Linked DNA regions of Lonchura striata. The protein of the gene in region 3 purifies or fractionates together with the protein of the main gene of each other region. This does not show direct contact. Links are inferred from orthologs where the notes say so. Each region holds a gene or a part of one and is shown on either strand. Other genes may lie near its edges. The genes, in order: RBM25, AMPD2 and RNPS1.

The links.
Region 1: the proteins of RNPS1 (region 3) and RBM25 purify together in Homo sapiens (affinity purification with mass spectrometry; 3 studies listed by BioGRID and IntAct, with this or other methods). This does not show direct contact. The link is inferred for Lonchura striata from reciprocal best matches to the Homo sapiens genes RNPS1 and RBM25.
Region 2: the proteins of RNPS1 (region 3) and AMPD2 purify together in Homo sapiens (co-immunoprecipitation; 3 studies listed by BioGRID and IntAct, with this or other methods). This does not show direct contact. The link is inferred for Lonchura striata from reciprocal best matches to the Homo sapiens genes RNPS1 and AMPD2.

What each region holds. Positions count from the first base shown.
Region 1 is NC_134608.1:35,556,031-35,559,774, reverse strand, and holds the start of RBM25 (RNA-binding protein 25), read right to left. Parts: upstream 2,468-3,744; 5' UTR 2,353-2,467; intron 1-2,352. UniProt on the Homo sapiens protein: RNA-binding protein that acts as a regulator of alternative pre-mRNA splicing. Involved in apoptotic cell death through the regulation of the apoptotic factor BCL2L1 isoform expression.
Region 2 is NC_134632.1:1,136,226-1,139,969, reverse strand, and holds the start of AMPD2 (AMP deaminase 2), read right to left. Parts: upstream 2,501-3,744; 5' UTR 2,472-2,500; coding exon 2,402-2,471; intron 942-2,401; coding exon 811-941; intron 1-810. UniProt on the Homo sapiens protein: AMP deaminase plays a critical role in energy metabolism. Catalyzes the deamination of AMP to IMP and plays an important role in the purine nucleotide cycle.
Region 3 is NC_134618.1:1,871,587-1,875,330, forward strand, and holds the start of RNPS1 (RNA-binding protein with serine-rich domain 1), read right to left. Parts: upstream 2,692-3,744; 5' UTR 2,645-2,691; coding exon 2,643-2,644; intron 1-2,642. UniProt on the Homo sapiens protein: Part of pre- and post-splicing multiprotein mRNP complexes. Auxiliary component of the splicing-dependent multiprotein exon junction complex (EJC) deposited at splice junction on mRNAs.

The DNA.
Region 1 (3,744 bases), on a different chromosome or scaffold from region 3:
TTGTCATGATGAGATGCCTGCTGGGATGGAGCTCTGTCCACTAGGAGCATTCTGGCTGATTTACAACTAAGCAAACGCAGAGAGCTCACCTTAGGGCTGGAAGAAAGTGTCTGAGTCCACACAGAACTCAAAACTACTATGAAACAAGGATCACCATCACCCAGACACTGCTGCCTTGTTCTTCTTTATCATCTCTGACTCCTAGAAGTCCCAATAAGAGGGGACTGAGATTGTACTGGTCTGGCTGCACTGTTAACACAGTAATTTCTTTTTAAATCATAGTATTTTTTAACCTTCTGTTTTACTGACTCCATTTTTTTTAAACAGAGGTGAAGAGATATGTCATAAGCAGAATGCAAACTCAATAAAAATTGCTGGCAGTGAAGGTATTTTAAATTGATAATCCCATCATCTACTTAAGGCAGCATCATAATTCTACCACTGTTACAGAATTAATATCAGTATCTCTGTTTATACATCAGAAACTTTATGTGTTAAAAGTTTTATTAATTTAGAAACTTGCAAAACATCTTAACCAATTTCAAAGTTCCCATGAAGCAACCAGTTACCATACTTACTACTGTTACACCAAAGTTAAAACTGACTGCAAAACCCCTCAAGTCTTAATGCACAAAACTCACGTGTTTTAGGAATGCATACATGAGGTGACATAGCAACAGTGAGAGTATGGCTGACATAGTTTGATTTAATTTTATCTGATTTTAACTTCCTTTCAGTATTTCCCCAAAACACTTCTGCACCACAAAAAGTCTGTGCCTTTAGTCTAGAATAACTTGCACAAAATGGCTGTGCAGGCTGAAGAAAAGATACACAACAAACTTTTCTGTTAAAGTCTGTACTCTCACAGGCTTGTGCCTTGGTCTCTACACAATGGGTGGATATTTAAGCCATTCCATTATAAAAGCAACCTCCTAGTTTGTCACCCAACAAAGAAGCTGTTTATATTATTACTTGTTGTCAAAAAGGCTCCCTAAAAGAAAAATCTTCTATTCCAAGCCAACTGGTTTCCTCAGTGAAAATGACCATTTTCTCAGACCCCTACAGTTTTCTCCAAAATGGCCTGCAAGCAAAGCAAGATTTAAATGTTAAACACCGCACGCATGGGGAGAGATAAAATATATTATAGGTATCCTAAGCTAAAAACAAAAATACTAGTACTTGCTCTAGCTTGTTTTTCAGAAGTCATCTAGAAAGAGTTTAGTAACTGCTGTGGAATAGTTGCATCCCACCCTGTTATTATGAAGCAACACAAAAAGCAACATGTTTACCCCAACCAAAGCCTCCGTCCCAAAGCCCTTTAAGCAGGGCTCCATTAAGTATGTCATGAGAACTTAAAAGATATTTGATTTAATTCCTAATTCTATGCCTCTGCACCTATATAAAACCCTGGTTAGTGAAGTAAGTGACTTTCCATTCTAACTTGGCTATTGACTCTTCCCAAAACAGAAACTCCTTCTCAGGGGAAGTAAGAAACTCTGCTATTCTTCCTTATAATTTGCTCTGGACTCACCCCATAAATGCTGATGCAATACCTGAACCAATGCTTTCCTGCCACACACAAAAAAAGGACCAATACTCAGTGAGTGTATTTTAGGCTCAATGGGCTAAGAAATAGAAAACTTTTGAGAGCTCACTTTCTCTAAGGCCGTTTAAGACCTAAAAAAAGAAACAACAAAACCGTTAGTTGTGTTCAGGATATTCCCTGTGTTGAAACAAAAAACCCCTCCTCCAAGCAGACAAAGGTCTTTTTCTTCAACGGAAAAAGACATTATGAGAAAAACATGCCGTGTGCACATCACAACGGCTCCCGACACGGATGAATCACTCCCGATTATTTTACGCACGACCTGCCAACACGTGTTTTAAGAAGACCACGCCAATCCACGCTAAAGACAATAACTTCCTTGTCGCAATATATCACGTTTCCTAGCGTGATCGGTTTCCCCGACGTGCAAAAGCAAAAATCCCACCCACAGTCTAAGGCGGCCGGGCGCCAGCAAAGCTCCGCGCAGCTCCGGGTCCCGGCCGTGCCACGGGCTCCCCTCGCCTCCCGCGGGGCCGCTCCCGTCCCTCTCGCCGGGGCGGCGGAATGGGCCCCTCCGCGTCCCAGCGGGAGACGACGCGAGCGGGTCTCGCGAGCACCGCCCCGAGGCCGCTCGTCCGTTCCACGCCCCGTCCAGGCCCGAGCCGCCTCCCCAGCGAGCGCCCGCCGCGGCCCAGCGGCCTCGGCCGGTCCCGGCCGTGCCTCCGCCCAGCGGGCGGCCGAGGCGCCGCCGCCGCCTGCCCTCCCTCCTTGCCTCCCTCTTGCCCGCGCAGCCCCCCGGGTCTCACCCTCGGAGCGGAGCGGGGCGGGGATGGCGCGGGGGAGGCGCTGGGCCGGCTGAGGCCCCGCTAGGCCGCGAACGCACCGCGCCGAGCCGCTGCCGCCGCGCCGCGCGGGGTCATGTGACCCGCCTCTTCCGCCAGCGGCCCGGCGTGCACCGCGCCGCGCCACCACAGAGCCGGCCGCGCCAGAGCGCCCCCAGGCGGCGCCGCGGCCGGCCGTGGAGCGGCGGCGGAAGGCGGGCAGCCAAGGGGCATGCGCGCCGCCGCCATCTTTAGCGGGGGCGGCGCGGGGCCGTGACCCGGCCGGAGCGCCGCCATGTCGGGGCCAGGGTGGCCCGAGGGCCTGGAAGCCTCCGGCGGCGGGGCCACGGAGCTTGGCCGTCTGTCAGCCGTCATGGCCCCCTCAGACAGACACCCAGCCCAGGGACGGGCTGTACCGCAGGCAGGGAATCCCCTCCCTCGACCTGCCCTCATTGTTTGGGATGCAGCCCAGGATACAGCTGGCTTTCGTGGAAGGTTCTGTGTGCTGTAAAAGACTTAAGGATTTACACAGCAAAAAGAGTGAGCACTACCTTTTTAGGCAGCCGCATGCTCGTCAGAAAGATGTCACTGTGCTGTTGGGCCTAGCCATGGTCTACAACTGGTAGTTTCTCTGACCTACTTTCAGCATTTGGACTACATTAAGAGCCAATTTTCAACATGACATGCAAGACAGTAATTGCTGTAGTTATACCGCTGTTGGAAATAAGTTGCAAGTGGAAAGAGGAAGTGACTATGAATGAGAAGAACATGATCTTACAGATTATTATGAGGTAGACCACAAAATGACCATGTGCATAAAACTGTTTAAAAAATGTTGGATTAGGTAAGGGAAAAAAATGTGTTGTATTTTCCATTGTTTAAAGAAAAGTGTTCAAAAGACAAGAGTCCAATGACAAAATCTCCACCTGTAGGCTGACTTCTTCAGTACAAAGCAGATTAAAACTATCTGGTTGATGTCATATGTGCTACTGAACAGCCAACAACTGTGTTGGAACTAAGGTCCCATTCATCACCTTGCTTTACGTGATGTGTAAGGGTAGATATTCTAGCAATAGCAGATTTAAGAAATATTTCAAGTTTGACTGCAATTTCTTGCCCACCAGAAACAGCAGTTTTGCCTTCTATTAATTACAGCTTATTCCAAACAGCTGGCATATCTCCCTCAAAATAATACAAATTTAGTAACTACAATACTGACTACTGTTAATAGTTAAAAAATTTTATAAGCATACTAGGAAAACCAAGGAAAAGAAAAAGGCATAACAAAAATTTTCAGAATCTTCTCTGTGTTGTCTCAGACAACAACAGCTCAGCTTAAAAAGAAATGTGAATCCCAAACTATTTTGTACTGCTGTA
Region 2 (3,744 bases), on a different chromosome or scaffold from region 3:
AGCAGCCCTGCTGTGAGCTGAGCCCAGAGCAGCCCAGAGCAGCCCAGAGCATCCCTGCAGTGAGCTGAGCCCAGAGCAGCCCAGAGCAGCCCAGAGCAGCCCAGAGCAGCCCTGCTATGAGCTGAGCCCAGAGCAGCCCAGAGCAGCCGTGCAGTGAGCTGAGCCCAGAGCAGCCCTGCCGTGAGCTGAGCCCAGAGCAGCCCAGAGCAGCCCAGAGCAGCCCTGCTATGAGCTGAGCCCAGAGCAGCCCAGAGCAGCCCAGAGCATCCCTGCAGTGAGCTGAGCCCAGAGCAGCCCAGAGCAGCCCAGAGCAGCCGTGCAGTGAGCTGAGCCCAGAGCAGCCCAGAGCAGCCCTGCAGTGAGCTGAGCCCAGAGCAGCCCAGAGCAGCCCAGAGCAGCCCTGCAGTGAGCTGAGCCCAGAGCAGCCCAGAGCAGCCCAGAGCAGCCCTGCAGTGAGCTGAGCCCAGAGCAGCCCAGAGCAGCCCAGAGCAGCCCAGAGCAGCCCTGCAGTGAGCTGAGCCCAGCCGTGAGCTGAGCCCAGAGCAGCCCTGCCATGACCTGGGTGCAGCATCAGCCCTGCCACGGGCTCAGCCCAGAGCAGCTTGGCCATGAGCCGGGTGCAGCCTCAACCCCTGGGCTGGCAGAGAAAGGCTCACACTCAGAGGATTTCCACACTCAGAGCTGAAGAAGTAGGAAGGGAGGAAGGTTTGGGGAGGATAGGAGTGGGAAGGATGGAAGGGAGAACCCCCCCCACTCCCCCAATATACATCCACCCCACCAGACCTGGCAAACTTGGTGCTCCAGACCCACCTCAGCGATCTCCTTGTATTTGCCATCCATGGAAGTGCGCAGATCCACTGGGAAATGCTTCAGGGAATGGGGGGTCCCAGGCAGGGACCAGGCTGACTGCAGGGGTCGGGCCCCTGGCCCCCCCCGCAGCTCTGCAGGGAGTGGGACAACATCAGCTGGGGGGGTCTGGAACCCCACCTGGGCTGGAAGGGGTTAATCAGCCCCTCCACAGCTCCCCCTCCCCACCATGGAACTGGGATGCTCTTCCCAATGGGGATGATGGGGAAACTGAGGCAGCTCAAGGGCAAGAGGGACCCCCCCTCTCTAATCCCCCTGGGAGGGCTGCTGGCTCCATTGGGGGCTGCAAGAAGCCAACAGTGAGTGAGGGGCTCAGGGCCGGGCTGCAGGACCCCCATGGCATGGGGGGCACAACTCTGGGGTCCACTCCCTCCGCCAGTGCTGCCTCCCTGCCCCCATCCCATCCTTTCCATCACAGGGGAGGGGAGGTGACATCGTCCCCCCTCCAAACACCTCCCATTGCCCCTCGCCCCCCTGCTCCCATCAGCACGGGGCCATCGGGCTGGGGGGTGCCCAGTGCCCCCCCAATGCCAACACCCTCCTCTGCGACCCCAAACCCACCACACACCTGCCTGGGGGGGCACCGAAATCAGGTCCTACTGGTTAAACTGGGTCCACCAGTAAGAGCCCCTCCACCCAGCACAGCCTGGGCAGAAGATCCAGGTCTCCTGAGCCCCGAATTTGAGCCTCCACCCCACTGGAAAGTGTGGGGGGGCTGGGGTGGTGTCACCCAAGGCAGGGATGGCACTGGTGTCAGCAGGATGTGCTGCTGGTGCCTCACCTGGGGCATGGTGTCACCCAGGGTAGGATACATCCTATGCTGCCCACATGTGACAGGTGGCAGCCCTGGTGGCACTCCGAGACTGTCCCCAACACGGGTGCCAGACAGATGACAACCCCAAAGTGCCACCTCGCCCGCCTCGTGCCACCATCCAGGCACCCTGTGCCACCCACCCAGGACAAATGTGGGTCACCAGAGCCAGGGGCAGCGCCGGTGACATCCCTAGACCGGCCAGAAATACCAGCCAGGTGACAACCCCGAAGTGCCACCTCACCCCGGTGATATCACTGCCACAAGCACCCTGTGTCACCAGCACCGTTTGCCATCCACCTGGAACACGTGTGCCACCCACGTGTGGGTGACACGCCGAGACCCTCTCTCAGCAGCGCCAGCCGGGCGCCAACCACAACGCGCCACCTTGCCCACGCAGTGCCACCGCCACGCGGGATCGCCCCCCTGCCCCTCCAAACCGGGCCCGCCCCCCACACCCCCCAGCGCTCCCCTCCTTCCTCCCCCTCCTCTTCCTCCGCTCTCACTGCGCCACCGGGGCGCTGGCGGGAGGGGACACGCAGGGTCCCCGCTGCCACCCTCCCGGTGCCGGGATACGGTGCTGGCTCCCACCCCGCCACAAACCCTCCGAGCATCCCCCGCAGCCCACACCGATCCCCCCGGCTCGCCGCACCGCGCCCCCCGCGCTGGGCGTGACCTGCGTGTCCCCGTGGGCTGCGGGCTGTTTTTGGGGGGAGGTCTCACCTGCGGGGCTGGGGGTCTGCAGGCTACCCCGCTTCTTGAAGGGACACTTGGCCGGGGGGGCAGAGGACATGGCGGCTCCAGGGGGGCCGGGGAGGAGCGGAGGGGCTGATGCTGGCGGTGATGATGGTGATGGTGGTGATGATGGTGATGGGGGCGGGGGGTGACGAGGGGCGCCCGGGGGACTCTTACGGCGGCGGGGCCGCAGCGGCCGCTCCCTCCCCTGGTTGATGATTGATGCAGGAACCCGGGAATGGACCAAAGTCCCCGGCGGGGCCCGGCCGGAAACCGGGACGAGGAAGAGGATGGGGCGGGCGGAGGATGTGGCGAGGAGGAGGAGGAGGAGGAAGGAGGTGGCTGCGGCGCTGGAGGGTGGAGGGGGGGGGCAAGACCCGGGATGGGGCTGTGAACTACGGGGGAGCGGGGCCGTGACAGCCCCGGGCCAGCCGTGGCCCCCCTCTCGGACAGCCCTGAAGCCCCCCGGACAAACGTGACACCCCCGGAGCAGCGCTCTGTACCCGTGTGGGGTCAGCCGGGACCCCCCCGGGTAACCCCCGGCCCGGAGAGCCGGGACAGCCGCCGCAGGCAGCTCTGTACCTCGGTGGGACCCCCGGGACGGCCCCAAGCCCCTCCCGGGGACAGCCCAACGTCCCCCCAAAGCGGGCATCGCACCCCCGCGAGAGATGGGGTTGGACCCCCCAAAGTGGCAGCGATGCTTCCAAAATAGGGTAACCAATCCCCCTGCCCACCCCCGAACAGGCACTGCTCCCCAAAATGACAGGGTGTCGTTCTTCCCCATCCAGAGACTGGCTCTATCCCAGTGGGAATCTCTGTGTCCCCCAAGGGGCACGGTCACCCCCGGGATGGGCATCCCCCTCCCCAGGGCTGAGGCTGCACCCCCAACACAGACCGTCACCCCCCGTTAAACATTGTACCCCCAAAGGCACCGGGTACCTCCGAAATCATCCAATACCCCCCAAAAATGGGGTATTTCCCCCCCAGGTATGGTACCGCACCCCAAAAGAAGGACTCGCGCTCCTGCAGCACTCCCCGGCTCACACCCTGCTGGGGGCTGCCCTGAGTCCCCATGGGAATGTCCCCAAGGAGCCCCTGCCCCCCAGCCCCCCAACTCACCCCCCAGCCAAACTGAGGGCCACCCAGGGGCAGACCCGGCTGCGGGGCTGTCACCTCTGCCACCGCCTCGGTCCCCGCGTGTCCCTACCTGGGCCGGGGCTCCCGGTGCCGGGTGCCTCTGGGTGGCTGTCGGGCTGTGTCCCCTCCGAGCGCCCCGAGTGTCCCCTAAGCTGCCACCGGCGCAGGGGGGTATTTTTAGCCGCTGTTAGAGC
Region 3 (3,744 bases):
TCCATGGGGATCATTTAAAACCTGTGATACAGATCTGCCTCTAACATTTTAATAACCTTTAAAGGAATGTGACACTCCCAACTACCAAAGAATTAAACATCCCGGGAATGAGTAGAAGCTTGTTGGAGCTGCCAGCCTTATCTGCAGCAGCACCAAATATGCACTGTAATGTGGGATATTGGAAACATCTCCATCCCCATGTACATCACAGGCAAACTCAGTGAACAAGAAAAAAACTTCACCAGCTCACAGCATCAAACAATCTTTTTCCTTCTGTGCTTCTGATCAGCAATTACTTTATTCTCTGAATTGCAATTAAATGCATGGTTGGGAAGAGATTACTTCTGAACAGCCAAACTTGCTTTCCTGATTTTCAGCTTCACAGTTTTCCCTAATACACCAACTGCAAGAAACAACACAAATGACTATTCACAAACCCAGCTCCCTGCAGAAACCAAGAAACACCCATGGCCTTTCTACATGGAGGACAAGAAACCCACACCACAGATGTGCCACTGGCAGAAGCTGCTGGGAAAGGAAATGCCTCCTCTAGCACCAGCGGCAGGAAGAAAGCAGTTATGGACTGTCCCACAAGCATCGCAAAGGGATCCAAGACAAGCAAACCTGTGTATATCACTCAGCTTTAGGATATTTCTATCCAGCTCCGTGCCTCTCCAGTGCAAGCTCTGAGGGGCATACAGATTGTAAAGCCACTGCATGAGCCCAGCTGGGTGGTACAAAACAGACAGGTTTTCTGGTCTTGTGAAACCAGGAACCTAAGATTTTTCCTTTCATAAAATCACAGAATCGCTGACTGGTTTGGGAAGGCATAAACCTTAAAACTCATCACTTTTCAACCCCCCAACTATGGTCTTTGCTACACCAAGTTGCTCCAACCTGGCCTTGAACACTTCAAGGGATGGGGCTGCTCTGAGCATCCTGGGTCAGGACCTCACCACCCTCACAGGGAAGAATTTTCTTCTAATCTCTAACATAAACCTGCCCTCCGTCAGTGAGAAGCCATTCCCCCTTCTCCTGGCCCTTGTAAAATGTCTCACTCCATCTTTCTTATAGGTTCATTTCAGGTACTGAAGGCTGCAAGTAGGTTACCCATAGCCCATTTTTCTTCTTCTAAATACCCCATAGCCAAGTTTGGTTTATCTCTGCCTACACATCAGTTCCTCCTGCACCTGTGGACTATCAAAGTCATAATGTTATCAGCATACAAAACTATCTGCTAGTGTTCAAGAGTCAGATCTGGTTTACCCCTTCTGGGAGAAGGGAAACGGAAACACAGATAAAGACCAGCATGTTTGCTGTTACCCAGCCTGCTGCTGAGGCAGGAAATAGAATCACAGAATCAATTACATTGGAACAGACCTGAGACCATTAAGTCCAATCTCTGACCCAACACCACCATGTCAACTAGACCAGAGCACTCAGTGCTGCATCCAGTCTTTCCATAAGCACCTCCAGGGATGGTGACTCCACAACCTCCCTGGGCATCCCCTTCCAGGGGCCCAACTGCCCTTTCTGTGAAGACAGTCTTCCTAATGTCTGATCAAAACCTCCCAGTGCATCTTAAGACTGTGTCCTCTTGTTCTGTTGCCCATTGCCTGGGAGAAGAGCCTGACCCCAACCTGGCTACAATCTCCTTTCAGGATTCCCTGCTTACTGCTCCTTAGAACAGGCACTTAGCAGGCAGATCAGCCACATAGCTTTGGAATATTCACCAAATGATGCTACATTAAAGCAGTCTCCAAACTAACCAGTGGTTTTAATCCTTTCTCAGGAATGCCCCTGACCATACTCACTTTAGTTGGAAACCTCACCCTACACAAGGGCATTTTCACCTGCACAAGTTCAGACATTCACTGGAAAATGAGGAAAGAATAAATCACAGTCCTCACACGAGGCTAAATAACATTGCATCTCTAAACTATATGCTTCATCTTTATAATCAAAAACCTCTCACTGTCTAAAAAATAGCTGGTTTAGGGGCATCCACCCTACAACAGAAAGTCTAAATTGCAATCTACACAAACCCATCTCACACATACTTCTGCTTTAGAGACAGAATCTGCACACTCAGAGCAGCAGTTCTCTGCAAAAGAAGTAAAGTCGCTGCCCTCAGGCTTCCCTTAAGGCTATAGGCGAGTTCTTTACTGACAGTTTGCTCCAGGTCTTCAGCTGCAAACCGGCAGAATTCCAGGTGTGAAGAGGGTTCGGCGCCCGGCACTTCTCTGTCCACTACGGCCGTTCGGCCCAGCTGTGCGGCCGGCGAAGCGCGGGGCAGCCAGATCCGCCCGCCGTGGGTGCGGTATGGCGCCCGTGGGGCAGGGCCCGCGAGATCAGCACAGCAACCCGTCCCTCGGGCCTGCACAACGCTCCTCCCCGTAGGCCAGGCCGCGGCACCGCCGACACTCGGGCCCGGTTCCACGGCCGGCCCCGCCCCGGCTCTCCCTCCCCTGCCCTCCCCGCCTCTGGCCACGGCTCCGAGACCCCATCCCCGACCCTCGCGCCACCATCGCCTCTCGGCAGCCCCAGCGCACTCCCCCCGGTGCCCCGCGCGGCGGAGGGGCCGGTCGGGCCACGGCCCGGCCGGATGGACGCGGATGGTGCAGCCCCCGCCCCGCACTCACATCCTCGGCCCCGCCGCCGCTCCGCGCTCGTCGCGCGAGATTGACGCGACGGGCGGGAAGGAGCGGCGCCGCGCGCGGTGATGGCGTCACAGCGGGGGCGGGGCGGGCGGACGGGCTTCAAGCGAGCAGGAGCGGGGTGGCGGGGCGGCTGCTGCTGCCCCCGCCGCTGACGTAAAGGTTCTTGCAAACCCTGTCCTGCATAGCCGTGGTAATGACAGTAGCAGCTTGGGCTTCAGCTCTGGGTTTTAAAAGCTTAACAACCCAGTAGGCTGCAGCCCCCACACGTGAATTCTGGCCCACGCTGCCTCAGGCTCACACAGCGCACAGACTCTGATTTGAGGTGGTGGCGGGTGTAGGGATGGCACTACTGTGCGGGGATTTGCCCTCTCAACTGCAAGAAAATTGGGAAGAGGAGAATGAAAGACTTAAGATGGAGCACCATACAGTGGCATTTCATGTCATGTGGGACGGATATCCCTGCCAAATGTGTTTGCTGTGAACTTAAAAGGGAATTTGCCACTGCAGACACTGAACCTCTGACGTCACCACATTGGCTGCCTGACTTTTGACTTGAGAGGAACAAAGCCAGAAGTGTATTTTGATCCCATCCCTAATACAGGGCCTTAAAAGTGACAGATCTTTCTAAGAGGTGTGTCGATCTGCTTATGTGTATGGCCAGAGGCATGTTTGTTAAATTCCTAATGATGGAAGCTTCACCTCTTGAATGCAGTGGAAGGATATGTCCTGTCTACCTCCATCACAGGACATGAGCAAGACCAGGGCAGGTATCTTTAAATTCGTGTGTGGCAACAAGAAAAACAGACTTATTCTCCGTTCTGCTGCAAAATCAAGGGGTATTACATAAAACCTGGCATGGAACAGGTTCAGTAAACAAGAAAACAAACAAAACCCCAAGAAAGCAAAAAGGAAGTTGTTCTTCTGTCCACAACATCTTGTTTAAGGGCAGATTTCTCTCACAGGCAATTTTGTAGTCTACTAAAAGTTCACATTGGTTCGATGAGAAACTGCATTATGTCAAATGGGCACTATTAGTAGACTGTCATGATGAGCTTAGAATCATGGAATCATTTAGGTTGGAAAA